Arabidopsis thaliana: one gene and its partners. The protein of the gene in region 1 interacts with the protein of each later gene in a pairwise test. Each region holds a gene or a part of one and is shown in the gene's direction. Other genes may lie near its edges. The genes, in order: AUR2, RAP2.12 and MYB73.

Region 1 (9,784 bases):
TGTAAGAAAAAATCTCCAATTTTTGTTCGTCTTTTGTTTTTTTCCCCTTCATGTTCGTCTTTTTTTTTTTTTTTTTTTCTTCATATTTGTCCCCCCAAAAAAAAAAAAAATGTTTTCAAAGCTTTAAAAATATTTAAAAATTTTCAAATTTATTTTTTAATCAATCACACTTTTAAAACTTTATTAATTTTTAAAGTTTTAAAAGCTTTTTTCTCTCCATTTACTTTTTTTCTTTTGTTTTTTTCCTAAAGTCTTTAACTTTAAAAGAGAATAATAAAACAAAATAAAAATATTTTTTCTTTATCCATAAAATTTCAAAACTCTTTTCAAATTTATTTATATTTTATCATTAAAAAATCGATTGATTAATTCGAATTTTATTTTTTCTGTTCTTTTCAGATCCAATTTAAATATTTAAAATAGTGAATTTGTAAAATGAATTTTGTATTTTTTTAAAATAAATTTATTTTAGTTACTATTTTACCAAATAAATTGATTTTTTAGCATAAATAATATTTATAAAAAATATTAAATAATAATAAAAATAATTGTGATTTTTTTGTACCAATCAGACTTTAACAGTTAAAGTTTCTATCGTCAAAATTTTTACAACCAAAATTTTTACAGTCAAAGTCGTAACATCCGAAATATTTAGAGTTCAAAAGTAACAGCCGTTACCAATCAGCCCCAACATCTACTTTATTACGCTTTCCGTTTTAAATTAATTGTCAGAACATTAAAAAAATAATTAGAATAAATATCAATTTACATTTTTAAAAGCTAATTTTGACTACAAACAAAATTAAAGTTTTATTTGCAGTGATTTATGTTTTAACCAATAAGAAATTTTGTAAAGTAAAAAATAAAACAAATTATTAATATGTGTGTCAAAACCTAAAACAACATTTTTGGAGTATCACTAACCAAAAGTTATATAGTCACATAAAACATAGGGATACATTAATTGAAGAAATTAAGATACACATTAAAAATTGAAAAAAAAAAAATTTCTATCATAACTCAAAGTTTATCACCAAAAATTGTGTTAATTATTCCGTAGCTGTTATTTGTTTATAAAGATTTAGATCATTTTGACCAGACTGTAACTATTAGATCATTTTGAAGAATCGTAGAATCATACTATTTTATTTGCAATTATATGAATTAGTCCACACTAATATTAAGGGTCTAGCGATATGAAACATAAGACATTACAGTAAGAAAATATTTGGACGGTACAGTATATATTACTTGTCACGTGACTTTCAAGGTCGTAGACTACTCCCCATGACCTGACAAGAGTGAATAAATTTGGTTATTGTCCCCCATTTTTTCTAGATCATGGAAGGATGCAACGTACGTAGCTTTTATGAAATAAATTTCGAACATTAATTTTAACTTTTGGCTCTCCAGCTGATGGGAGTAAATTGACATGCTCCAAAGAAAGAAACACAAGTCACCTAGTGATTTTCAAGAAAATGTGCTTCCTTCAAAATATCCGAGGTCTAAGATGAAATAGTTTTAAAAATTGTTATGCGGGGCATATATTATTAGAGTGTTGTGCACTTGTAACCTTCCAGAAAATAAGCAATTTGGACGATATTTTAAGGTTTGGTCCATGTTCCAGTATCGTGTTAGGGTCCACTGCTTCGAGATCTACTTGATTGATACTCTTCCATTTGTTTTCTAATTGTTTGATGCAAAGGTTATCCATTAAGGGAAACTTATCTATATCACGTGGAATACTCACTGCAAAAGATTCGCAATATTAGACTTATAATTGTCACTAATCAGACCATTAAACAAATATCAAATTGATTAATATGTTGAATTTAATAATCCAATTTGACCTCTTTCAGATAGGGCTTTGGGGACAAATCTTCTTAAATCGCACCAAACTTTTATTATAAGATAATTTTTGGTTCGTGGCTATTAAATTAAGCCTGAAAATTTAAACATATGTTTCACTTACAAGCGTCAAGTATGGATAAACAATGATTAATCATAAGCTATCATAATGACAAAAAGAAGTATGATCGTTATCAGTTCTCTTATGCATAAACTATTGATAAAATTATAATAGTCACGAGATGATTGATCGAGCACGATAACTATTATAATAGTCACGAGAGAATGATGTGAAAGTTTAAGAATGCGTCTAAACCAACAATAAAATAATTTAAATAGTTATAATTGAATACACATTCTATATTAGTAAACATTCAAATTATTTAAAATATCTACGAGACACAATAGCCTCCCAACAACCATTCGTACATTCACTTTCTCATTAGAAAGAAAACGTATCCTAATTTGTTGTTTTCTCTATGAATGTTAATATCATCTAATAAGTCCATATAGACTATATCTAATAAATCCATATAGACTATTGTCTCTGAATATCAATGGATTTGAATCTTTGGCCAAAAAATTAAACAAAGAGACAAATGATGTAGAAGTCACATTACATAGTGGGAGTTAAAATTAACCAGAGTTTGCATTAGGTTGCAATAACGCTTGCATTTACGTCTTGCGGTGCTTACGTTCTGAATCTCTTTGTCGATGAGCTTGAAGATAGTTGATATTGGGATCGAGACTTGGTTGTGAACCACATCATTCCTTTGCTTCCACATATATCCTAACATTTATCTAAACAATCTGGTGCTAGAAGAAAGAGATTATCAAACTGATGCAATGACAAACTACGAAACACCACTCCATAACAAAAAAACTTAACCGTATATCGATCCTCAACTTTAGGAATAATCCTAACGCCGCACCCACCCGGCACCTGGCACCCACCACTTGAAAAATTCATAGCTCATGGCCAGTAGGGAACCGCGGAGGAAACTTACTCAGTCCATTGCGAGGATAAGGACAAAAGTACTCCTTCAATTATTCTAGAAAACCAATCAGACGTTGACAAAGAACCTCGTTTGAAAGTACAACTGCTCTACAAGACTGCATTGCCCACTACAAGCAGTGAATGTTGTCCACCCTCAGCTTCTTTATACGTTCGTGAAGCATGCATGTGCATTTTGTTGGTGCGCGCATAGTAAGCCATGCCATGCAATTCAATGCCAATGGTTTACGAACATATAGACAAGTAAAGTTTTCAATTATTTCATGAGTACCTAAAAACCACATTCATAGAACAGTTTGCAAGTATTCGAAATTTGGGAAAACATGCATACGACCTCACCGCATCTCTCAAAGGCCGAATACAATTTTTGAGGAATGATTAAACAAAGAAATATTTTTACAATCACACTAACTACAATACGTTCATGAAGACAACGTAAATGACACGAGCCATTTAGCGCAGCCTTCGAAATTTATTTAGCGAGTATAGATAAAGTGGTTCAAGCCTTGGTATTGATACACAAAATTCACAAACCTTGCAATTTTCTTTTTGAACATAAAAACAACAATATTATTTCAAATCAAACGGACCACACTCAAAACTACATTTACATATACCAAGAAAGCCACCATATAATTCTAGAAGCCAGACGGTGACCAAGTAATTGGCATTTATTAATTTACTTAATTCGTTATCATCTTTCCTTACACTAGCTATTTCACAATCATAAAACAGAAAATACCGATCAGCAATTAAACACACAAAAAATTGTATGGAAAATAGAAAATAAAATTTTAGATAGATCTTTTCAAAAAGGTAAGAACAGTATTAAAAAAACATACGTAGGATAATCATAAAACTTAATACAACATATAGATCCATATAATTATTAAACTCTAATGAGTAGTTGTTGTGGTTTGGTGTGTTTGTTGTGGCTGCGAGTGCGTATAATGTCCCAACTCTTTGGCTTTCTCCGCTATCCTCATCCTCGCGTAATCCACCTTATCCGCTCCCATCGGGTGTTTTCCGGTAACGTACTTATAAATCCACGTTAACGCCGTAGCTGCTGCCACCCCACAACCACCGGAGAATAGGAATCCCATCGTCAAAAGCCCTATCGTTATCACTGCCGGTACCAACACCGGGCTGAACAGAACCATCAACGGCGTCGCTACGATCAAACCGATCACCGTTCCGGTTAGTGTTAGTCCTGAGAGCACGAGGAGTGATAGGCCGATCGTAGCTGCCGTTACGAATCTCACTATCTGCCGAGTCGATGGTGATGATTCATGGAGACTCCTCATTATTGGTTGTTGTTGTTGCTGATGTTGTTGATGATCCGCCATTTCTTTTTTTCTTTTTCTAAGAGAGTATGGATTTAATGTTCTATGTTGTTTTTGTAGCTTTAATAAGCTTACCATTTGTGATTATTATGAAGAATGAAAATAGACTAGTATGAAGGAGAGGCTAAACTTAAACGAGACATGTGTCGAACGACGAGGCGTGTTAGGCAATGGAGAAGAGTGTCACGCGGGCGTGTCAGTTCTGCATGGAGCTACTTTGACGAGGTACTGACACGTGGTTACTTAGTTCCGAATTAAAATCTCATCGTCAAACGATCTTGAAGCTTATTGGGCTATTATCTGGGCTTGTAGTGACTGTATATTATCCTAGTGATTATGAAGTTGGAATACCGTGGGCTTAATAATATCTGGGCCTGTAGCGACTGTATCATCTCGGGAGACAAATTATTTGAAAATAAAAACCTCGATGCAGATGTATCAACACGTGGCAGCATCTGGATTCGACCGTTGCTGCTTTGCTGGTGGTTTACGTTTTTTCCCCTTTTTAAATTTCTCAATTTGGATCTGTTCCCTTTGTGAAAATTACTCTCTCTTCTCTCTTTCTTTCTTCTCTTTCTCTCGCTATCTTGGCTCATCAACGATCTCTTCCATGGGGATTTCTACAGAGACGCAGCAAATTGTAAGAAAATAACTTGTTCTTGGTTTCACAAATTCCAATTTCATTTGGTTCTTTTGTCGAATTTGTTTCAATTTAGGGTTTTACTTCCTTGTTGGTTTGCGTTTTTTCTCTGCGTTTGGTCTGTTCTAATGGAATGTGATCTGGGATTATCGATTTGGTTGCTTGATTTTCTTTGCGCCAGAAAGAATCTTGTTTCAATGTTCTCTGTTTAATTTGAGAAAGACTTGTTGGTATGATTTTGAGAAATTTCATGATATGATTGTGGATTTATTCGTTTACAGCGAGGACCCTAGATTAATTGACAAATCCGTGGATTAGTGTTAAGGAGCTGTTGATTTTATCCTTTTATCTTCAAGTTTTAAAGTATCAATGATTGTTTGTCGTTTATGATTAAGTGTATCTGAGAGTTGATTGGATTTCAATCTTTGTGATAATGTTGTATCAGGCGGCTTCAGAGGCTGCACAAAAGAGATGGACTACAAGCGATTTCGATATCGGAAAGCCACTTGGTAGAGGAAAGTTTGGCCATGTTTATCTAGCAAGAGAGAAACGGGTTAGTGTTTCTTCACAATTATGTTAAACAAGCAGAATTAATTTGATGTCTTTTTTAACCAAGCTGTCTTCTATGTGTCTTTGCAAACAGAGCGATCACATTGTGGCTTTAAAGGTTCTTTTTAAGGCTCAGCTTCAACAATCTCAAGTTGAACACCAGTTACGAAGGGAAGTAGAGATTCAATCTCATCTTCGGCATCCCAATATTCTGCGGCTCTACGGTTACTTCTATGATCAGGTTTTGTGTTATCTGTGCTTGTAAAAGAACTTCTTGTTGACATACAATGTTTGGCTCTGTGAGGTTAACATAGTTTTTGGGATACCGTTGTTGCAGAAAAGAGTTTATTTGATTTTGGAGTATGCTGTAAGGGGTGAGCTTTATAAAGAGCTTCAGAAGTGCAAGTACTTCAGCGAACGTCGAGCAGCAACTGTAAGTCCTAGTGATAATTGAACTTATTCTAGCATGTTAATGTGAATCTGTGTAGTCATACCCTTACGTTTATTGTGGCAGTATGTTGCGTCATTGGCTAGAGCCCTCATCTATTGCCATGGAAAGCATGTAATTCACAGAGATATAAAACCTGAAAATCTGTTGATTGGTGCTCAGGTAACAAATTGAATCTGGTTATCTTTCTCCATCAACGCCATGTGATTGCAGTTAGCTTATGTGTTTATGTATTCATGGATATATGTTTTCAGGGTGAGCTCAAGATTGCAGATTTTGGATGGTCAGTACACACATTCAACCGTAGAAGGACTATGTGTGGCACTTTGGATTACCTTCCACCTGAGATGGGTAAGAGAAAGCTCTCTCTCTCTTGTGTGATTCTAAATTACTTTCTTCGGCAACCAGCTAATTGACTTTTCTGCTTTTGGATTCACAGTGGAAAGCGTTGAACATGATGCGAGTGTCGATATATGGAGTCTAGGAATTCTCTGCTACGAATTTCTTTATGGTGTTCCTCCTTTTGAGGCCAGGGAGCATTCAGAGACATACAAAAGGTAACATGTTCATTAAGCGTAGAATGGGATTAGTATATGATGTTTGGTCAGTGGAATGTACATTAAAGAAGGGTTTTGTTCGACAAATGATACAGGATTGTTCAAGTGGATCTCAAGTTCCCTCCCAAACCCATTGTGTCATCATCTGCAAAGGACCTGATTAGCCAGGTTTCTACTCGCATTCCTCGTAAATCTCTCTAAGTGTTTGTGCATTTGAAGAGTGAATTCTGATTTTCACACTTTCTGATCAAACAGATGTTGGTTAAGGAGTCTACGCAACGTTTGGCCTTGCACAAGCTTCTTGAACACCCGTGGATTGTGCAAAACGCAGACCCATCAGGCCTTTACAGAGGATGAAGCGATGAAGCTAGGAAAAGATTTAAGATTGCATTCTTGGCACTTTGCACCACTTACTGCAAAAAGTCTGACCATTTCATAGTTCTATATATGTAATTGCTGTGTTCCAAAAGTATTTGTACTACATTTTTCTACGAAGTTTATATAGCCACAAGATTCGTGTAACTTTACTCCAATTATTTTCGAATCCTACATCACTTTTTAAATAAAAATTGTTCGGAATGGTTTCAAACTTACAACAGCTTTTGTTCATCGGTAACTTATTCACCAATTGATTGGTTAACGTTAACTGATGTTACTGCAGGTAACCAAATGAGATGGATTTGTTCACAAGAGATCCGGAACATTTTTTATGTTGTAAGATGCAAAGGTGCAAAGGCAAACGAATGAAAGATTAACCGAACATGAACAAAACAACAAGAGACGCACTCTGCAATCAATCATTTTCCTTCAAAAGGTGGGTGAATGAGACAAGAATGACCAATGTTTGTCTTTTATCTGTAAGACAAAGAAGAAGAATAATGCCTACTTAACCTCAAAAATTTAATTTGGTGTATCTTGTACTTAAATATGGTGGTGGAGTCTCAGAATGCGTAGCGGTAGATGGCATCAGCAACACCATCTTGGTCGTTGCTCACACCAATCACATCAGCCACCGCCTTTGTTTTTTCTGCACCGTTGCTCAGAGCAACTCCCAACGAGGCCAGTTGCAGCATCTCTATGTCATTTTCTCCATCTCCAATCGCCATTATCTGATAAGAAAATCCGGGTTGCTTCATCAACTATCTTATTTTTTGTTTGACTTCTATACTTATGCCTACTTGAGTTTCTTTACAACGCCGTCAAAAGATGCTAGATTATTACCTCATCCGGTGAAACGCCCAAATGATTGAGTAGCATTTTTACACCATTCCCTTTGGAGGTTCCGGGTGGGACGATTTCTAGCATGTCTGATTGAGCTTGAACAACATTAGCACGGTCTCCTGTAGCTTCTGACCAATACGGACGGATAACAGATGAGACTCCCTCGGTTGTGTCCATAAATATCACTTTCTTCGGATACACAAGAGAACCAAACATCAGTACTTTGGCTTATACATATGTAAGAAAGTAAGATATAAGTTCTGACTCCGGGAATTACCTGAATGTCAGCTTCAGCTATCAGTTGATCAACCGATGATATAATTTCGGCCTGTTAAAAATCATGGAGAGATTAGCAAGAAGCTGTCAAAAATCATAACTAGATGGGGAGAGAGCGTGCAGTTTCATTAACCTACCTTTGGCTCATTGTAGATTGTGTGAAGAGAGTCGACAAGAGGGTGGTCAAACAATGTCAAGCAGCGATCCTGGCTGAATGCAATGAGAGGAATTCGATGCTCCAAAGAATAAAGACAGGTCTGTATATAACAAATCAACATTTTAGTAAGTATAAGATAGGATTCCTAGAACTCAGTTATTCAATCACGATACACAGGGATAATAAGTTGAGCACTATCATAGGTACTTAGGTAGCTTTTTGCTGCTTAACATGGTAGAGAATTACATGATGCAAAGAGACTGGGTTCCAGAATTCTAATGCATGGTTTGTGAACTAAGCCGAGGATGTGAGAATTAATTCTGTGAGTCGTTGTAGTCTAAATCCTAAGTGGACTTACCTCTCTGCAGACATCTCGGTCTAAGTTTCCTCGATACACTTCTTTCCCTTGTCTACCATAGACAAGTAATCCCTGTAATTAAACAGATATTTAGTGAGACTACATTGATATTGGTGCACCTCACTAGTTCCCTGATGTTAGAGCAAGTAAACCTGAACGAAAACGCCTGGAGAGGACTCTGAGATAATGCCATCGGATCCAGTTAGATCAGCCGTCTTCAAGATTCTGATCGCACCTGGGCGGGACTGTGATAAATAAATAAATTTAGGAACATATCCTATCTCCAAAACATTTCAAAGACAAGCAAATATTAAAAAATAAGGAAAGATATTGTTGGACAGATCAAAGAATAGTCCAAACATGAAGTCATTGTAAAACTGCTGTCTTCTCACCTTCCCCGTAGCTATGACTACTTTAAGTCCCCTCAGAAGGGCTTCTTTTAAAGCTTTTGCATTTGCCTCCGAAATCTGACTTTTACTGTTAAGCAGTGTACCTAATAGAGTTCACATCAAAATCCCATGAGAAAGCGAAGAAAACCGAAACAAACAACTACACATTATTAAATAAGTAACCTTACCATCCATATCACAGAATATATAGGAGAACTTTGGTTTGTACAATCTTAGGCCATCCCCTTCCTTCCTGTCTAATAACAGTAGTCTGTAAGTTTATCTTAGCAAGAACAAGAAGATAATAGGGGGAGTGTAAATGATCGTTACACAGTTGCAATTTAGTATACACAGGAAAAATACCATCTGATTTCTCCGGCTGAACTGTAGTTGTTTTTTGAATGTCATATGCACTCTGAATGAGTCCTTTTCCTTTCCACCCAAGGTTTTTTAGCAACAACTCCTCTTCCTCTTCCATTTCTTGCTCAGCCTCGTCGCTGATTTCATGATCAAATCCCAGTAGATGTAGCAACCCATGAATCTTTGAAAAAACATTTAAGGTATCAGCAAATAGAGACTACTACACAAACCATATGAAACCACCTGAATAAAAAAACAAAAATTGGCTCCTACCCTTCTAATATCTTTCTAAACATTATGGAAACACAGTACTGATTTCTTACATGGTTATTGAAACAACAAGAATCCTAAAAACCCGCCTAGAAACTTCACATTATACTTCAATGTTTTGGTTCACAGTAAGTCAGTAACGGATACAAACTCCACAACTATTAATCTTACCACAAGAATGCGTATTTCATCAAGAAGAGTATGCCCTCTCTCTGCAGCTTGCCTTGCAGCTGTCTCAACAGAAATGACGAGATCTCCCATCATAAGCTACAAGAAGAACGACCATAATGAGTAACCATTGGAACCATCCTGTTAAAAACCAGTAAATCAAAAACAAACACTTACTACTGGAA
Region 2 (8,148 bases), on another chromosome or scaffold:
ACTCCCTCTGTTTCATAATATAAGTTGTTTTGGAACAATTTTTTTGTTTTACTATATAAGTTGTTTTCAAGTTTCTATACAAATTATATATTATTTTAATATTTTATGATTATTTATGTTATGTAGTCTCTTTTGTGATTAGTAGAATTTTTTAAAAGTAAATATTTTTAATTTGCGTGTTTTTATTTAAAACAATTTATATTGTAAAACAGATGGAATATTATTATAGGCTATAGGCCTATAGCTAATGTTTGGATCTAACTGCTAACGTTGTAAGATTCATAAAACACCGGCCACTTACAATCCCACGTTTTTTTTAAAAATATTACGTTCTTTCCTGGAATTACCCATATACACGTTTTTTTTGTTATCTTCGTGCTCAACTGTTTACAAAAGTATACTGTATTCGGGAAGGTGAAAAAAGATAAAATTATTTCGGAACATCTAATATACTAACACAATAAATGAAATTAAAAATATATTTGTAAAGACATTAAAGATGGCAAATATATCTGTCCACACCACATTTTAATTCTTTTTTATATCATTAGTCTATAACATTTGATTAAGTTTCACGTTTTAGAAAAGTGATTATGTATAAACTAAAAATATAAATAGATTACTTTACAACAAACTTTTTTTTAGCATTTTACATTTGTTCATTTAACAACAACTATAACATATTGAATTCGAGTTTTTTTTTCCTTTTCCCAATCATTCCATTGAATGTATGAGTTTAGGTCTTAGGGTTATTTTCTGATGAATAGCAAAAGTAGTAATTCCCGACAAGAAATTGGCCAATGTCGAAAAAGTCAAATTCCACATTTTAATTGAGACATAAAAGACACATCACTCAATACAGTAAAATATCTACTTTTATATATTCCCAAAAACCATTCGGCTTCTGCTTCCACTTCATCTCTCTCTCTCTCTCCCTTCTCACATTTCTCTCCACTCAGATTTCCAATTCCTAAAGATAGAGAGAATGACTAAAATCTCTGTTGGATTGCAACTTGTGACAAGAGATTCGAGGGAAAAACTAAACAATATAGTGATCAAATCTTCACTGAGACTAAACCGATCCAATCCAAACATCTCGGAGCTTTGTTTCCTTAAAACATGTCATCTCTGCAATAAACAACTCCATCAAGACAAAGATGTTTACATGTACAGGTACGATATTTTTTTTTTTTTATTACTATATTATATACTCTTTGTAAACGAAAGATGTTCTGTTCTTGATTCTCAATTTTTTTTTTTTGTTGAAAACAGAGGAGATTTGGGATTTTGTAGTAGAGAGTGCAGAGAAAGTCAGATGTTGATTGATGATAGAAAAGAACTAGAGGCTTCGACGAAGATGATGTTGGCTTCGTACAGACGATGTAATAACGGCGCCGGAAAAAGCGAGTCTCGGAATTTGTTTGATGATCTCCGGCGACGACGTCAATTATTTATAGTTCCTTGAGGCTTCTTTAAGCAATATCTAATTATAGTTTTTTTGGTTACACATCTTATGAAAGTTATTAGTAAAAGAAAGAGAATTAAATTGTATCTCCGGTTGTCATTTTTCAAAATCTTAAATGTTAATTGGACAGTTTATGTGGTGATCTCATTCTCAGGTGGTTTAATTACTGATTTAGTAAAAATGCTCATTAATTAGTTAGGTTAATTGTAGCTGTTGACCAAAAATAAAGATTACTTGTAGTCACACGTTAATTAGTGAGATAATTAAATGATACAAAGTGTCATATGAGATATGACTCATATTTCATAACTAAATCTGATTAATTCGAAGAACATTTTAATATTCAGATTGGATCGTGACATGATGGATATGAACTGGATAAAGAATTATTTTAAAGAAGAAAATCTCTCTGATAAATAAATTATTCGATTTGCTTCTTTTTTTTTTATGTATGGGAGATATTTTAAATGTATGTGACAGGGACATAGACACTCTTTGGTTGAGAAGATATGAACAACTCATTTAGTCACGTGTTGAATATGTACAGGCCAAAATACTGTATTTTAAACAATTGGAATTATTGTTTTACTTGTCAAGTGATCACTTTGTTCAACCCAATTCCCCAACTAATTTATTGTTTTATAGTGTCACACTGTCACGAGTAACTAAGCAGGTTCGTGGTCTCGGCCCAATTAAAAGGCCAATCAATTAAACTAAATGCAAGTGCCTATAACTCGACCTATGAAGCCCACTATCTTAGCGATTCGGCCCAAAAAGACAACTTGCCTTGTGTAAAATGATTTCACTTTGTATCCATCCAATGATTCCAATTAATGAGAAGTTATGTTCAGATTTAAGAATTCCAGTTAGTGAACAAAAAATCAACTACTGGAATTTGTTTTGCTTCTTATAAATTTGGTTAGAAAAACAAAACATAAGGTTTATATCTATAAACACAAAGAAATTGTACTAATGTACAGTTCCGAAACGAGTATAGTCAATTATTAAAAGTTAAAATAGTGAAACAAATAATTGCTCCATGAATGACATATTGACATCATTATCTGTTTCTTTGAGATAAGCTAATTTAGGAACTTGTCTCAATCCTGTAAAATGATTTGGACCCTACCTATTTTATTCATCTGTCTTTCTTTGCGTTCACAATTTGATCTTAATATATAAATATATAGTACATGATTGCACTAATATATATATATATATATATATATATATATATTATATGTAGTATAACTATACACGTATGAAGTTGAATTTTATAAAATAAAATTTTCTTTTAACTGAATTTCCAATAGTTGTTTATACATAATTTAGAAAGTTGCAACCATAAAATATATTTCACCATAAAACAACAAAATATGGTTTCCACGTACACATACACATAACACATACCTACTGAATATTCCGTAATTTACGATGCCTGATAATTTGGACCTAATAAAGTTAGTTAAGAGTAAACAGAATTACAAGGAAATTTTAAATTGAGTTTAAGAAAACTAGTAATTGATTTGGAATGCTAGTTATCAAACAAAAGGACAAATATATTTTTCGGATTATTTTTAATAACTTTTTTGTTTGTCACGAAACGACAAAAGCTTTGTCATAAAAACCAAATCCTATCAACTTGCTCAAAAAGCTTCAATAATATCGTACGTGTCCTGCACACGCAGATTCATAAATGTGTTTCTATGCTTTTACAATTTTAGCCTTATGCATAACAGCATAAGGTCTTAATGGTCCTCTCTCCTAATCAAAATTACATTCAAAAGTTGTTGTATAGTTTTTCATTATATTTTCAATAATTCATTTATTTTGTGCCTATGTTAAAACATTTTCATAATTCATTTATAATATTATTTAAATTTAAATGTTAAATATCTGTTCTGCGTTGGCTACTCCTGAATGCAAACAACATTGCAAAAGTATTTAGTTGTGTTTTTAATGCCTAATCACATTAATAGATACTAGATCTAAGGGAAATAGACTTTATGAAAAAATCAATTGACGTTAGGTAAAAATTTGTTTAGACTATTTTTGTCTACCAGCAGACAACTCTGACTAAATTTTTAATCTTATTTACTGCAACTAACTATTAATAAACTAATAAAATCCTAATTTACAATATAGATCTACAGTAAATGAATATAAAAGTCTGGTAGTACCGTAAATAGTACATCAAGATAAGGGTATAATAGTAAACAACCATCGTACTCGCTTCATCTTTTATTTTACTCTAAAATCTCTTTCTGAAGAAAACAACAAAGCAAAGCGTTGAAGAGAGAAGAAGAAGCAAAGATATAACCCCCAAAAGTATCAATTAGTTTCCATTTTCGCCGCTAAGATTCTGTTTTCGAACATTTACACCCTCAAGAATCGCCGCCATGTGTGGAGGAGCTATAATATCCGATTTCATTCCACCGCCGAGGTCTCGCCGTGTTACTAGCGAGTTTATTTGGCCGGATCTGAAGAAGAATTTGAAAGGATCGAAGAAAAGCTCGAAGAATCGTTCGAATTTCTTCGATTTTGACGCTGAGTTCGAAGCTGATTTCCAAGGTTTCAAAGATGATTCGTCTATCGATTGCGATGATGATTTCGACGTCGGTGATGTTTTCGCCGATGTGAAACCATTCGTTTTCACTTCGACTCCAAAACCCGCCGTCTCCGCCGCTGCGGAAGGTAAATATTTAGGGATTGACTTTAGTTTGAGCGATTGAATTGGTTAGAAATTAAGTTTCGATTCTATTTAGCTCTGTTCATAGATACCTTTATCTGCTTACGATTTTGATTGTTGTATAAAGCATGAGGTTTGATTTGTGTGATATTTATATGCATATGAGGTTGAGTGATGAGACTTGATTTGTGTGATGAGATTTGATTAGAGATTGTTGATGAGTTATTTATAGAAGAACTCTTTTGTTTTGTTGTTGTTTCACTACTAGGTTCAGTTTTTGGTAAGAAAGTTACTGGCTTGGATGGGGACGCTGAGAAATCTGCAAATAGGAAGAGGAAGAATCAGTACCGAGGGATTAGGCAACGTCCTTGGGGAAAATGGGCTGCTGAGATACGTGATCCAAGGGAAGGTGCTAGAATCTGGCTTGGAACGTTCAAGACAGCTGAGGAAGCTGCTAGAGCTTACGATGCTGCAGCGCGGAGAATCCGTGGATCTAAAGCTAAGGTGAATTTCCCTGAAGAAAACATGAAGGCTAATTCTCAGAAACGCTCTGTGAAGGCTAATCTTCAGAAACCAGTGGCTAAACCTAACCCTAACCCAAGTCCAGCTTTGGTTCAGAACTCGAACATCTCCTTTGAAAATATGTGTTTCATGGAGGAGAAACACCAAGTGAGCAACAACAACAACAACCAGTTTGGGATGACAAACTCCGTTGATGCTGGATGTAATGGGTATCAGTATTTCAGCTCTGACCAGGGTAGTAATTCTTTCGATTGTTCGGAGTTTGGTTGGAGCGATCAAGCTCCGATAACTCCCGACATCTCTTCTGCGGTTATCAACAACAACAACTCAGCTCTGTTCTTTGAGGAAGCCAATCCAGCTAAGAAGCTCAAGTCTATGGATTTCGAGACACCTTACAACAACACTGAATGGGACGCTTCACTGGATTTCCTCAACGAAGATGCTGTAACGACTCAGGACAATGGTGCAAACCCTATGGACCTATGGAGTATTGATGAAATTCATTCCATGATTGGAGGAGTCTTCTGAAGAGATCCAGTTTCATGTAAATAAGGCTGCATGTTTGTGAGTTTCCCGCATCGTTCGTTTATCAACCTCCAAAACTTTCTAATGTCTGTTACTTGCATCTTCTTCTGCTGTCTCTGTCTGTCTCTCTCAGGAGTTCCTGTTTGCATTGCGAGAAGCCATGAGCCTCTATCTTGAGGGTAGTTGTGATGAAGTTAAGTAGAGGCTTATTTTTAGGGGTTGTGGTAGTTTTTGTTTTAGTGAATCTTTTGAATTCGTTTGTGTTTTGTTTTTGTTACTTTATGCCCCAAAACTCCTTTAACATTTGTCATAATGTGTTTGAACCTCTCATCTGTTTAATCAAATAAATCTTCTTTGTATGCTACTAAGAGTATGTGAGAACTGTTGAACATAACAAAGAAGTCACAAGCTAAGTTTGAACCAAACCGGTTCTCGTAAATTTGTGATCAGAAAAAAAGCGGTGATCAACTGATCATCAAAGTGATTGCCTAGAGAAGTGCGCCACTTTTGTTATTTTGTGGTACAATGAATCTAGAGGGAACAAACGTTGAAACGACGACGTTAAACGACAGAAGAATCTCTAAAGGTTGAACTCTCTTTTTGCAAGTGGTAACTGGTGAGTTTGTGTCTTTCTCGTGACCGTTTCCTTATGATAACAGAAAATAAAAGAGAGTAAATTAACTCTTCTGGACAGTTCTGCTTCTTTAGGTCATTTTCACTCTGTATAAATATCTAAGCATTAGCACACATTCTTTATTTTTTACTGAAACATATTTATATGTATTTGGTAATTTAATCTACTGATTTTTCATATAAATTGTTGTTAGTTACCGTATTACTGTCAAAATGTAGCCCAAAATGTAAGTGTCAAGGTGCTTTGAGTTGTGTGATGACAAGTTTGACATAACATTTGGTTTCTCCTATTATTGTGAAGAAATGAAATTATCTTATGGTGATACTTGCATTAATATTACTAATCAAACCATTTGACTTCTTTTCAAAAGTCTTTGTATATAAGTGTGGACACACATTTTATATCATAAATAAATACATAGTCTTGTCGACATGTCTATAAGTTAGATTTAAAAAGCAAATGATTTGGTCTATATAACACACACATCACGAGTCTTTAGAATTTTGTGGTGAATGAGAGAGTCAACTTTAATGGAGAAAGTCACAAGGAGAACTATCTCCTCCTTCATCTTCTTTATCGTCTCTTCTACCATTCTTTTTCTCGCCGGAAAATCCTCGGCCAAAATTTCTCATAACGGTGACAATAATGTGACGGCCTTGTTCCTCTTTGGAGACTCTTTCTTGGATGCAGGAAACAATAATTACATTAACACCACTACACTTGACCAAGCCAATTTTCCACCTTATGGTCAAACATTCTTTGGCCTCCCCACCGGAAGATTCTCCGACGGTCGTCTCATCTCTGATTTCATTGGTGAGAAGATTATATTTCTTATTATTCATATATTAGCTCGTGGTCTTATTTAAAGATATAATATTGACGGAAATGTACGTTAATGATAGCGGAATATGCGAATTTGCCGTTAATTCCGCCGTTTTTGGAACCGGGAAATAGTCAAAAGAAGCTTTACGGCGTCAACTTTGCGTCTGCTGGTGCTGGTGCTCTTGTGGAAACGTTCCAAGGTTCGGTACGTTTTTTTTATCTTTTACTTTATTTTATTTTAATTTCTGTGGGATTTTTTTAGTAATAGTTTTGCATTATAATGTATCTTAAAATAGATATATCATTTGATTGAGTTTCGTAACTTTCGTTTGCTTAATTGATCCATGAGTTTGATTGAATGTAGTTAACTTTTCTATACCTAAATTGTTGATTAAATGATTGCATATGGAAGTGGGTTTTGAGTTTTGACCCGATTATTGTGGCTAAATTAATTGAACAATCTTCTTTAAAATGTAGTTTTTTGGTCCCACCTACGATTTGTTGTATCCTTTTACATGCTTTATTTATTTATAAAGATAGTAGAATTCCTTTTCAATTTTATTAAATTGCAAAATATGTAGTACCCACTTACTTATTTAGGACAATTAGATTTTTAAATTTAAGGTTAGGTCAGATATATTATTCTATGTTGTTCAACGTGGTAACCAATTCCTAATAATTGTAAGGTTATAAATTTGAGAACACAATTGGATCACTACAAGAAAGTGGAGAGATTATGGAGGACAAACTTTGGTAAAGAAGAAAGCAAGAAGAGAATCTCAAGAGCTGTCTATTTGATAAGCATTGGGAGCAATGACTACTCAAGCATTTTCTTGACCAATCAATCTCTTCCCATTTCAATGTCTCAACATGTTGACATTGTCATTGGTAATCTGACTACATTCATTCATGTAAGTTCATCATCATCATAATATAAACCTTATTTTTGTTACATTCATTTATCCATTATAAGATTTTGTAACAGGAAATATACAAGATTGGAGGACGTAAATTCGGGTTCTTGAATGTGCCTGACTTGGGTTGTTTTCCGGCTTTACGAATTCTACAACCGAAGAATGATGATTCTTGCTTAAGAGATGCTTCAAGATTAGCAAGCATGCATAACAGAGCTCTGACAAATCTCTTGTTTCAAATGCAAAGACAAGTCAAGGGATTCAAATTCTCCCTATTTGACATGAACAAAAGCCTTAGACTCAGAATGCAACATCCTTCTAAATTTGGTAAGTGAGCTCTTTGTGAATTTTGTTGGGCTATTCCACTTATGATATTCATTTAAGGGGCCATTAAAGTATATGTTCATAACCCAATACCATTTTTGTGATAAATAAAAGGGTTTAAAGAAGGGGAAGAAGCTTGTTGTGGAACTGGGAAGTGGAGAGGAGTATTCAGCTGTGGAGGGAAGAGAATTGTGAAAGAATATCAATTGTGTGAGAATCCTAAAGATTATATTTTTTGGGATTCACTTCATCT
Region 3 (7,529 bases), on another chromosome or scaffold:
AAATCATCATAACCTAATGGCCTAATTCATAAGTGGTTTACGCATAGATATGCATTCATGAACGAAGAAGCTTCTTTAGCTAAATGAATTCTATGGGAGTGTTTTAGTACTAGTATCTACGGTTTTTCTAACGTTGGTAGTTGATGATATATGTGTGAATGCATATCAAATTGACCACAACATAAAAAAATGAATTTATGGTTAAAAATGACTTCTGAACCGTTGGTTGGTTACATAATCCATTAATAGAAACAAAAATAAGGACAATGCATTTAATATATTATTCGAATACAATTCTTCGCTTACTTAAAAACATACATATAGTTGACTACGATTTATTCCACTCAGACAATACGACCCTCCAATATTTAAGTTTTATTTTCTCACATATTTTGAAAAACACCAAAATATATTTTTGTTCTCTTTAATTTCCTTCAAAAAGCTAAGTGTATAACTCAAAAAAATAAAAAAGTCAAAAGTCAAATTTGTGTTTTTTACAAATGATAAAAATTCTAAATTTCTTAACTAAACACTAAACCAAAGTATTTTTAGTTTTCCAAACACAAGTTATAAAGGAGTTAAGAATGGTAAATTACTAATTAGTGAAGAATATATAAAAAAGGGTGGGTGGGTGACCGGCAGGTGGGAGAGTGGCCGTTAAAGGGAGGCAGAGATTTACAGCCTGTTTTTGTTTTTTTTATAATATCAGAAAATTAAAGTGGTAACGATCAGCCTTCCGATCTATCCTTGTCGTTTTGCGCCACGTGAGCAACTGTCTCTTTTTGGCCTATCTTTTTCTTTTTGTTTTGCTTTTTTTCTTCTTTGCTTTTTAGAGTATTTCATTTTTGAGATCGGCAAAATATCCAAAACATAATAATGATAACAATTTTTCAAATAAATAAAAAAAATACTAATAATGGTATACAGGCTGGCTTCCTCAGTCAAAAAGTCACCGAATCGAACCAAAACCTCATACCTAACCGTTAACTTCATCCTTATCTTCTTCTTCTTGTTTTCCTTATTTCTTTTTGTTGGTGCTCTTTTTTCATTTTTCTATTATATCATACATTCTTTTACCATATTACTTCAATTATTGTTGGTTTACCTTCATAAGTTTAATATGTTTTAGTGCATACGATATCAACTGTTTTGCGCAAAGGGTTGAGTTTTTATATAAACTAAACGAAAACAAAATTTGGAGGGTACTGAAATTGTTCATTTTTCATTATCTTGGTGTAAATAATCTATGAATCTCATGTGTATATGCAAAGTCATATGAAGTGAACTTGGTTTAGATATTTGTTGTATTTTCAATTTTCATTTTTAATTATATCATACATTCTTTTACAATAATCTTCAATTATTGTTTACATCCCTAATTTTAATGCATAAGATATAAATTGTTTTGAGCATTAGGGTTTAGTTTTTTTATAAACTATATGAAAACAAAATTTGGAGGGTATTTAAGTTATTCATTTTCATTATTTTGTGTAATTAATCTATGAACTTCGTGTGTATATATGCAAAGTTGCATGAAGTGGAACTTGGTTTTAGATATTTATGAATATCTAGATATTTGTTGTATTTCAGTTTGTTAGGTTTTGTTCTCTCTTTCTGCCAATTACACACACTTTTGTTTTACAAAGAACATAAATAAAAGTTACATATATATCCTGAAAAGTTTGCTTCACTGTATATATATCATCATCCTACACGCGCTTCACCGGCGTTTACCCTTTCAATTTCTGGTTAACTAAGTTGAACCGGATTAGTAATTCTTCGGTTTAGTTGTTCTTCTATACGACAATTTATCACTTGACAAATATAAACGATCTATTACTTGCAACATTCATATTTAATCTAGTATCTTACACGTACATATTTGTTAGAAATTCAATGACCAAACATTGCAAAACTATTACATTCACTTGTTGCATGTAAGCTAGAAGCCTAGAACTCGCTGTCAACGACTACAATGTCTACATTATTTTCACCGACACAATTTACATCTTAACCAAAATTTGGATATTGGACCAATCGTTCGTTTATATAATAACCACACGTATCAATCAACACACAGAAGACAATGACATGTAACAAACAGTGTAAAATATTGAAAATAACTTATCAAAAAACTTTAGTTCATAACACAAAAACTTTCGGCTATTTTTTATTGACTTCTATGTAGTCTTTTTGTTGCACTTACTATTTTTAAAAGCAATATGTATGTTTCCAGCAGATTCTTAGTTTTTACAAAATTTTGCCTTTAATATTTTTTTTGATATACATTGCCATTCTTGATTTCATTTTCTTCTACAATAGTATCAAAATTTTACAAAATAAAACTTCAAAAAACATACGAAAAAGTTAACAAATATTCAAAAAGAGAATGATTTTAAAAAGGATATAAATATAGAGAGAATAAAACGTAGAAGTTAACGATTTTTTTTTGTGAGTGTCACTTTAGATGGAAAATGAAATGATTGGGTAAAAACGCTCCACCTGTAAAACAGAGAGTGGAAGAAACGCTCCTGTGTACGAGCGTACTCTCTCTTCAAAAGAAAACAAATCTCTCAAAAAAAAGAAAGAACAATTGAAAAAAAAAAAGCAAATCTCAAACTCAAAGTACATATACTTACTTGACACGTGTTAATATACAGCTGTATCCCAAGTCCCCAACCGTTTTTCCTGGAAGATTCTCTGCTCTCCACGCTCGATGTTAACCTCACACAAACGCTTATCTCCCAAAACGCCTTTTCCAATCGCCAACGTGTTTTATTTTTGGTTTAAAATAAATATCTGTTCCAATCATACAAACACGTAAATGTTGTCAATTTTTTTATACCCAAACGTTAACGAGGTTTGTACGTAGCCCATTTATGGACACATAATTATGAACATATAAACAATGGTTAATCATACGTTTAAATTAATTAAATTCACCAATATTTTTTTGACTGAATGAGTCAAAATTGTTTAACGAGTAACGACCATAATTATCAGTTTTTATTTTTTATTGTTTGAACTACCATAGTTATCCGTTTAACACTGAGCAAATCTCTTTATTAATAGAGAAAACGGTTTTATTTGTTTCCTTCTATAAAATTTGTTTTTAATAATACGTTAGATATTTTTATGCAGTTAAGGATAATATTACACTGTAAAGTTTAACTAGTTTAATATCGTTTCTGTTAAATCGATAAGAAAAAATTACCGGTTGAACCGGTGACCCTTTTGCCCACTCCTTTCTCGTATAAATACTCTCTCTTCTTGCTCTTATCCTCTTCAACCAAAAAGCTTTTCTTCCCAACACACACAAAAAAAAAAACTGTAACGACCAAAAAAAAAGAGGACGCGTTAGAAGAAAAAAAAAGAACAATCCGATAAAAAGATCCGGCGATGTCAAACCCGACCCGTAAGAATATGGAGAGGATTAAAGGTCCATGGAGTCCAGAAGAAGATGATCTGTTGCAGAGGCTTGTTCAGAAACATGGTCCGAGGAACTGGTCTTTGATTAGCAAATCAATCCCTGGACGTTCCGGCAAATCTTGTCGTCTCCGGTGGTGTAACCAGCTATCTCCGGAGGTAGAGCACCGTGCTTTTTCGCAGGAAGAAGACGAGACGATTATTCGAGCTCACGCTCGGTTTGGTAACAAGTGGGCTACGATCTCTCGTCTTCTCAATGGACGAACCGATAACGCTATCAAGAATCATTGGAACTCGACGCTGAAGCGAAAATGCAGCGTCGAAGGGCAAAGTTGTGATTTTGGTGGTAATGGAGGGTATGATGGTAATTTAGGAGAAGAGCAACCGTTGAAACGTACGGCGAGTGGTGGTGGTGGTGTCTCGACTGGCTTGTATATGAGTCCCGGAAGTCCATCGGGATCTGACGTCAGCGAGCAATCTAGTGGTGGTGCACACGTGTTTAAACCAACGGTTAGATCTGAGGTTACAGCGTCATCGTCTGGTGAAGATCCTCCAACTTATCTTAGTTTGTCTCTTCCTTGGACTGACGAGACGGTTCGAGTCAACGAGCCGGTTCAACTTAACCAGAATACGGTTATGGACGGTGGTTATACGGCGGAGCTGTTTCCGGTTAGAAAGGAAGAGCAAGTGGAAGTAGAAGAAGAAGAAGCGAAGGGGATATCTGGTGGATTCGGTGGTGAGTTCATGACGGTGGTTCAGGAGATGATAAGGACGGAGGTGAGGAGTTACATGGCGGATTTACAGCGAGGAAACGTCGGTGGTAGTAGTTCTGGCGGCGGAGGTGGCGGTTCGTGTATGCCACAAAGTGTAAACAGCCGTCGTGTTGGGTTTAGAGAGTTTATAGTGAACCAAATCGGAATTGGGAAGATGGAGTAGAGTGATAAGAACAAGTTTTCCCTCTGTTTCTCGGGAAAATAAAAGTTTCAGGCTTTTCATGTATAGAGCCAGTAGTAGAGACGACGAAAGGAGGAAGCGAAATCAAAAAATGTTTTGTTATCATCATCATATGATCTTCTTTCGTGATTCAATTAAAAGCAAAGCAAGATCATTTATTAACAATTTACACAAACTTGAAGAAGAAAAGTCAAAAACACTTCTCAAACTTTTATTCTATGGGTTTGTTACGAGGAAACAAACATAAACTAAAAGTAGTAAATATAATCTCACGTGACATAATATATGACCTGAAGAAACCAGTCGAAACGAAACATATATACGATTTTGATGTTTCATAAGCGATCATACAATTCACAGTGTCTTGCTTTTGCAGAATTAGACAAAGAACAGCAAGTTACCCCCTAATGTGCAGAGCTTAAACTGTTGCTGCTGCTACTGGTTGGTTCTTGTGAGCGTAACTTGTTGATTAGATGAACTATGTCTTGTTTCCACGACCATGATGGATCGTTTAGACCACGTACTGAGTTTAGACACACCAGAAGAGTCCCGCCTTCATGTAGAAGTACCTATGATCACAAAAATGCAGGTTAGCGGTTTTGTCTCTCGGGTAAATGATGGATAACAAAAGCTTGTAGTGGGTATTAGCTTACGTACCGTCAACCACAATGGGACAAACCCTAAAACTGAAGGAAGAGCGGCCAAGAATATCGATGTTAATGCAAGAGCTACGTTTTGCTTGACCTGCAACATGATACATTCTTGTTAAATCAGGCAATCTAACATCTGAAACTGGTTAAGAACAAAGACTTTTATGTTTTATCTACCAATGATGTTGTCTGGCGGGATTTAGCGACACAGAACGGAACACCGGTGATGTTGTCTCGAAGCAGTAAGATGTCAGCAACGGCAATCGCAGTGGCACTCGCTCGTTGAGCAAGAACAATCCCCACTGTTGCAGCTGCTAGAGCTGGAGCATCATTAATCCCTTCTCCTACCATAATTAAACCTCCACCTAGCAAAAATCACAACTCTAAATTCTCAGTCTCTTGATAGATGTTTTTGATTGGGAACTATGGCGAGAGTAATGAATGATCACCTGCTTCCCGAGCAATGTTCTTTACATGATTTAACTTATCCTCTGGCTTTAGGTTGCAGTAGACTTCGGTAATACCCACTGCGTTTGCAACTCTCCAAGCACTTGAATCATGGTCCCCAGTTAACATCATTACTCGGAGTCTGGCCCAGCTTTTAAGTTCTGCTATAACTCCTGACACCCCTGGACGAGGCTGATCTTCGAGGTGAATCAATGTTACCTGACAAAATTTAGTTGCAAGGCTCATAAATTTCAGTGTTACAGAGGTTTTTATGGACTAATAAATGGTCAGATGAGAGATGAAAATCACAGACTGTGAAGTAGGAAAGAGGTTTTTAGACCAGCTAAAGAAGTAGTCGTAGTATACCTTTTGATCAACAGAAAGAGCAGCATGAACGAAGTCCTTTCCGTACGAAGACGCGTTTACAGCATCCTTGATCTGTTTAGATTCATCTTCAGATTTGAAAAGTGAGGTAATGAACTCTATAGAACCAAGTGATGCTTTTCGTAATCTACTCTCTTCAGCTACTGTCTATTACAAAACCAAAAAATGTGGTGAGAGACAACATCATATATATTAAGAATGAAAGCCAGAGATGTACACACATCACCCACAGCTATACACTATAAAATCTGGTAGATAAATGGATATATATAAGAATCTAGTAAATAACTGAGTCTCACCTTAACACCGTTGACAGTAGCAGTAAGGCCTCTACCAGGAAAATATTCGAAGCTTTCAACAAAAATAGAAGGAAGATCCTTACCCACACTGTGATCTACAACAGCTCTGCAGCAAGATGAAATGTGTCAGAAACAGCAGAAAAGACCTATAGTACTCTTCAGTCTCAATCTCTTACCAGACCAAGCATCATTTAAACTAATAAACCAGTGTAAAAACCAGTGTAAAAACCAGAGATAGAGAGCTTCATAGCGTTCAAATTTGCTTTTTCCCCTTCCTTTCATCCGATTGTGGTAATGAACTAGAAATAAGAATAAGTTCTAGATGTAGGACTAAAATTCTTTACGTCAACATATCTCCTGAAATGAATGTACCATCCAACAAGATAACTTATTTCCCATGAGTTATAGACGCGCCACAGTACTAACTATGTGATGATGGGATGCACATAGGTCACAACTTGCATGGTTTTAGAGTTTGTGGTAATTAAGTTTTATACTAGTAATTGATGCTAAACAAGCAATACCTTCCAATAGGATGCGTGGTGCCCTTCTCCATGGCAGCCGCAACTGCAAGAGCTTCTTTTTCACAATTTGGAATGCAGCAAGTTATTACACTTGAATTAGTTCCTCCTTGGTGCCCATAAATGGGTTCAATTGCTTTACAAGTAAGGCCGCCGGTTGTTAAGGTACCAGTTTTGTCAAAAGCAATAGTATGGCAAGACGCAAGAGCATCTAGAACCTGTGCACCTTTCAGCAATATTCCCTATAATAGTTACACACGGTGGGGTTACACACTTACACGTGAAGATACTACCTTTACATAGCAAAAAAAAAGGAAAAAGAAAATAAACCATGTTTTCAACTGGATTTGGACAAAAGGAAAATGATATCAAATAGTTAGTTGAAATATGGTGGTCTTCATAGATAAGACGATGTTGTTGCATATGCACCATTCATTCCTCACCATTGACATTTGATGCACATAAGATTATTTAGCTTATAAAGCTTAATTTGCTACAAGAGAACATATACAAACCAATGCTCAAAAGTGCAATTCTGCAAAACATCACAACGCCAAGAAAGCTAACATACACTTGGTGATCACGTAGAGTACTTGAACAATACCTTTCTTGCACAGGAACTAATAGCAGTAGCATAAGCCAATGGAGCTACGGCCAGAGCACATGGTGATGCGGCCACCATAAGTCCCAATGCTCTGTAAACAGATCCTCTACATGCTGCATCATTAACAAGCAATGAAAGTAAGCCAATCAATTTTCCACTCTTATCAATTGTCCAAATGGTGATATATCTTATTAAACAACAAGAATAGTTTGTCACATCAACAATGATTTATGGTAATGTTAAG

The links.
Region 2: the proteins of AUR2 (region 1) and RAP2.12 interact in binary tests that used the Arabidopsis thaliana proteins (3 or more experiments, as listed by UniProt).
Region 3: the proteins of AUR2 (region 1) and MYB73 interact in binary tests that used the Arabidopsis thaliana proteins (3 or more experiments, as listed by UniProt).

What each region holds. Positions count from the first base shown.
Region 1 is NC_003071.7:11,031,860-11,041,643, reverse strand, and holds AUR2 (ataurora2), read left to right. Parts: upstream 1-3,452; 5' UTR 3,453-3,759; coding exon of another isoform or gene 3,760-4,284; 5' UTR 4,285-4,431; intron 4,432-4,518; 5' UTR 4,519-4,633; coding exon 4,634-4,846; intron 4,847-5,291; coding exon 5,292-5,399; intron 5,400-5,489; coding exon 5,490-5,636; intron 5,637-5,732; coding exon 5,733-5,828; intron 5,829-5,909; coding exon 5,910-6,005; intron 6,006-6,097; coding exon 6,098-6,194; intron 6,195-6,282; coding exon 6,283-6,400; intron 6,401-6,495; coding exon 6,496-6,568; intron 6,569-6,655; coding exon 6,656-6,757; 3' UTR 6,758-6,992; downstream 6,993-9,784. Other genes in the region: AT2G25890 (Oleosin family protein), read right to left, coding at 3,760-4,284; AT2G25870 (haloacid dehalogenase-like hydrolase family protein), read right to left, coding at 7,342-7,509, 7,622-7,810, 7,899-7,949, 8,035-8,154, 8,413-8,484, 8,565-8,657, 8,805-8,905, 8,990-9,058 and 3 more. UniProt on the Arabidopsis thaliana protein: Phosphorylates specifically 'Ser-10' of histone H3 in vitro. Associates with cytoskeletal structures that are necessary for cytokinesis and with the microtubule spindle.
Region 2 is NC_003070.9:20,131,378-20,139,525, forward strand, and holds RAP2.12 (uncharacterized protein), read left to right. Parts: upstream 1-3,466; 5' UTR 3,467-3,864; coding exon 3,865-4,159; intron 4,160-4,422; coding exon 4,423-5,204; 3' UTR 5,205-5,636; downstream 5,637-8,148. Other genes in the region: AT1G53903 (linoleate 9S-lipoxygenase-4 protein, putative (DUF581)), read left to right, coding at 986-1,173, 1,273-1,465; GLIP5 (GDSL-motif lipase 5), read left to right, coding at 6,348-6,648, 6,738-6,862, 7,344-7,568, 7,643-7,898, 8,010-8,148. UniProt on the Arabidopsis thaliana protein: Transcription factor involved in the activation of hypoxic gene expression and in ethylene response. Partially redundant with RAP2-2. Acts as a downstream regulator in the ethylene signaling pathway.
Region 3 is NC_003075.7:17,537,203-17,544,731, forward strand, and holds MYB73 (myb domain protein 73), read left to right. Parts: upstream 1-3,287; 5' UTR 3,288-3,399; coding exon 3,400-4,362; 3' UTR 4,363-4,597; downstream 4,598-7,529. Other genes in the region: HMA1 (heavy metal atpase 1), read right to left, coding at 4,785-4,949, 5,038-5,124, 5,208-5,395, 5,480-5,696, 5,844-6,008, 6,161-6,266, 6,685-6,923, 7,286-7,398. UniProt on the Arabidopsis thaliana protein: Transcription factor that functions in salt stress response. Acts as a negative regulator of NHX7/SOS1 and CBL4/SOS3 induction in response to salt stress. In response to auxin, activates the transcription of the auxin-responsive gene IAA19.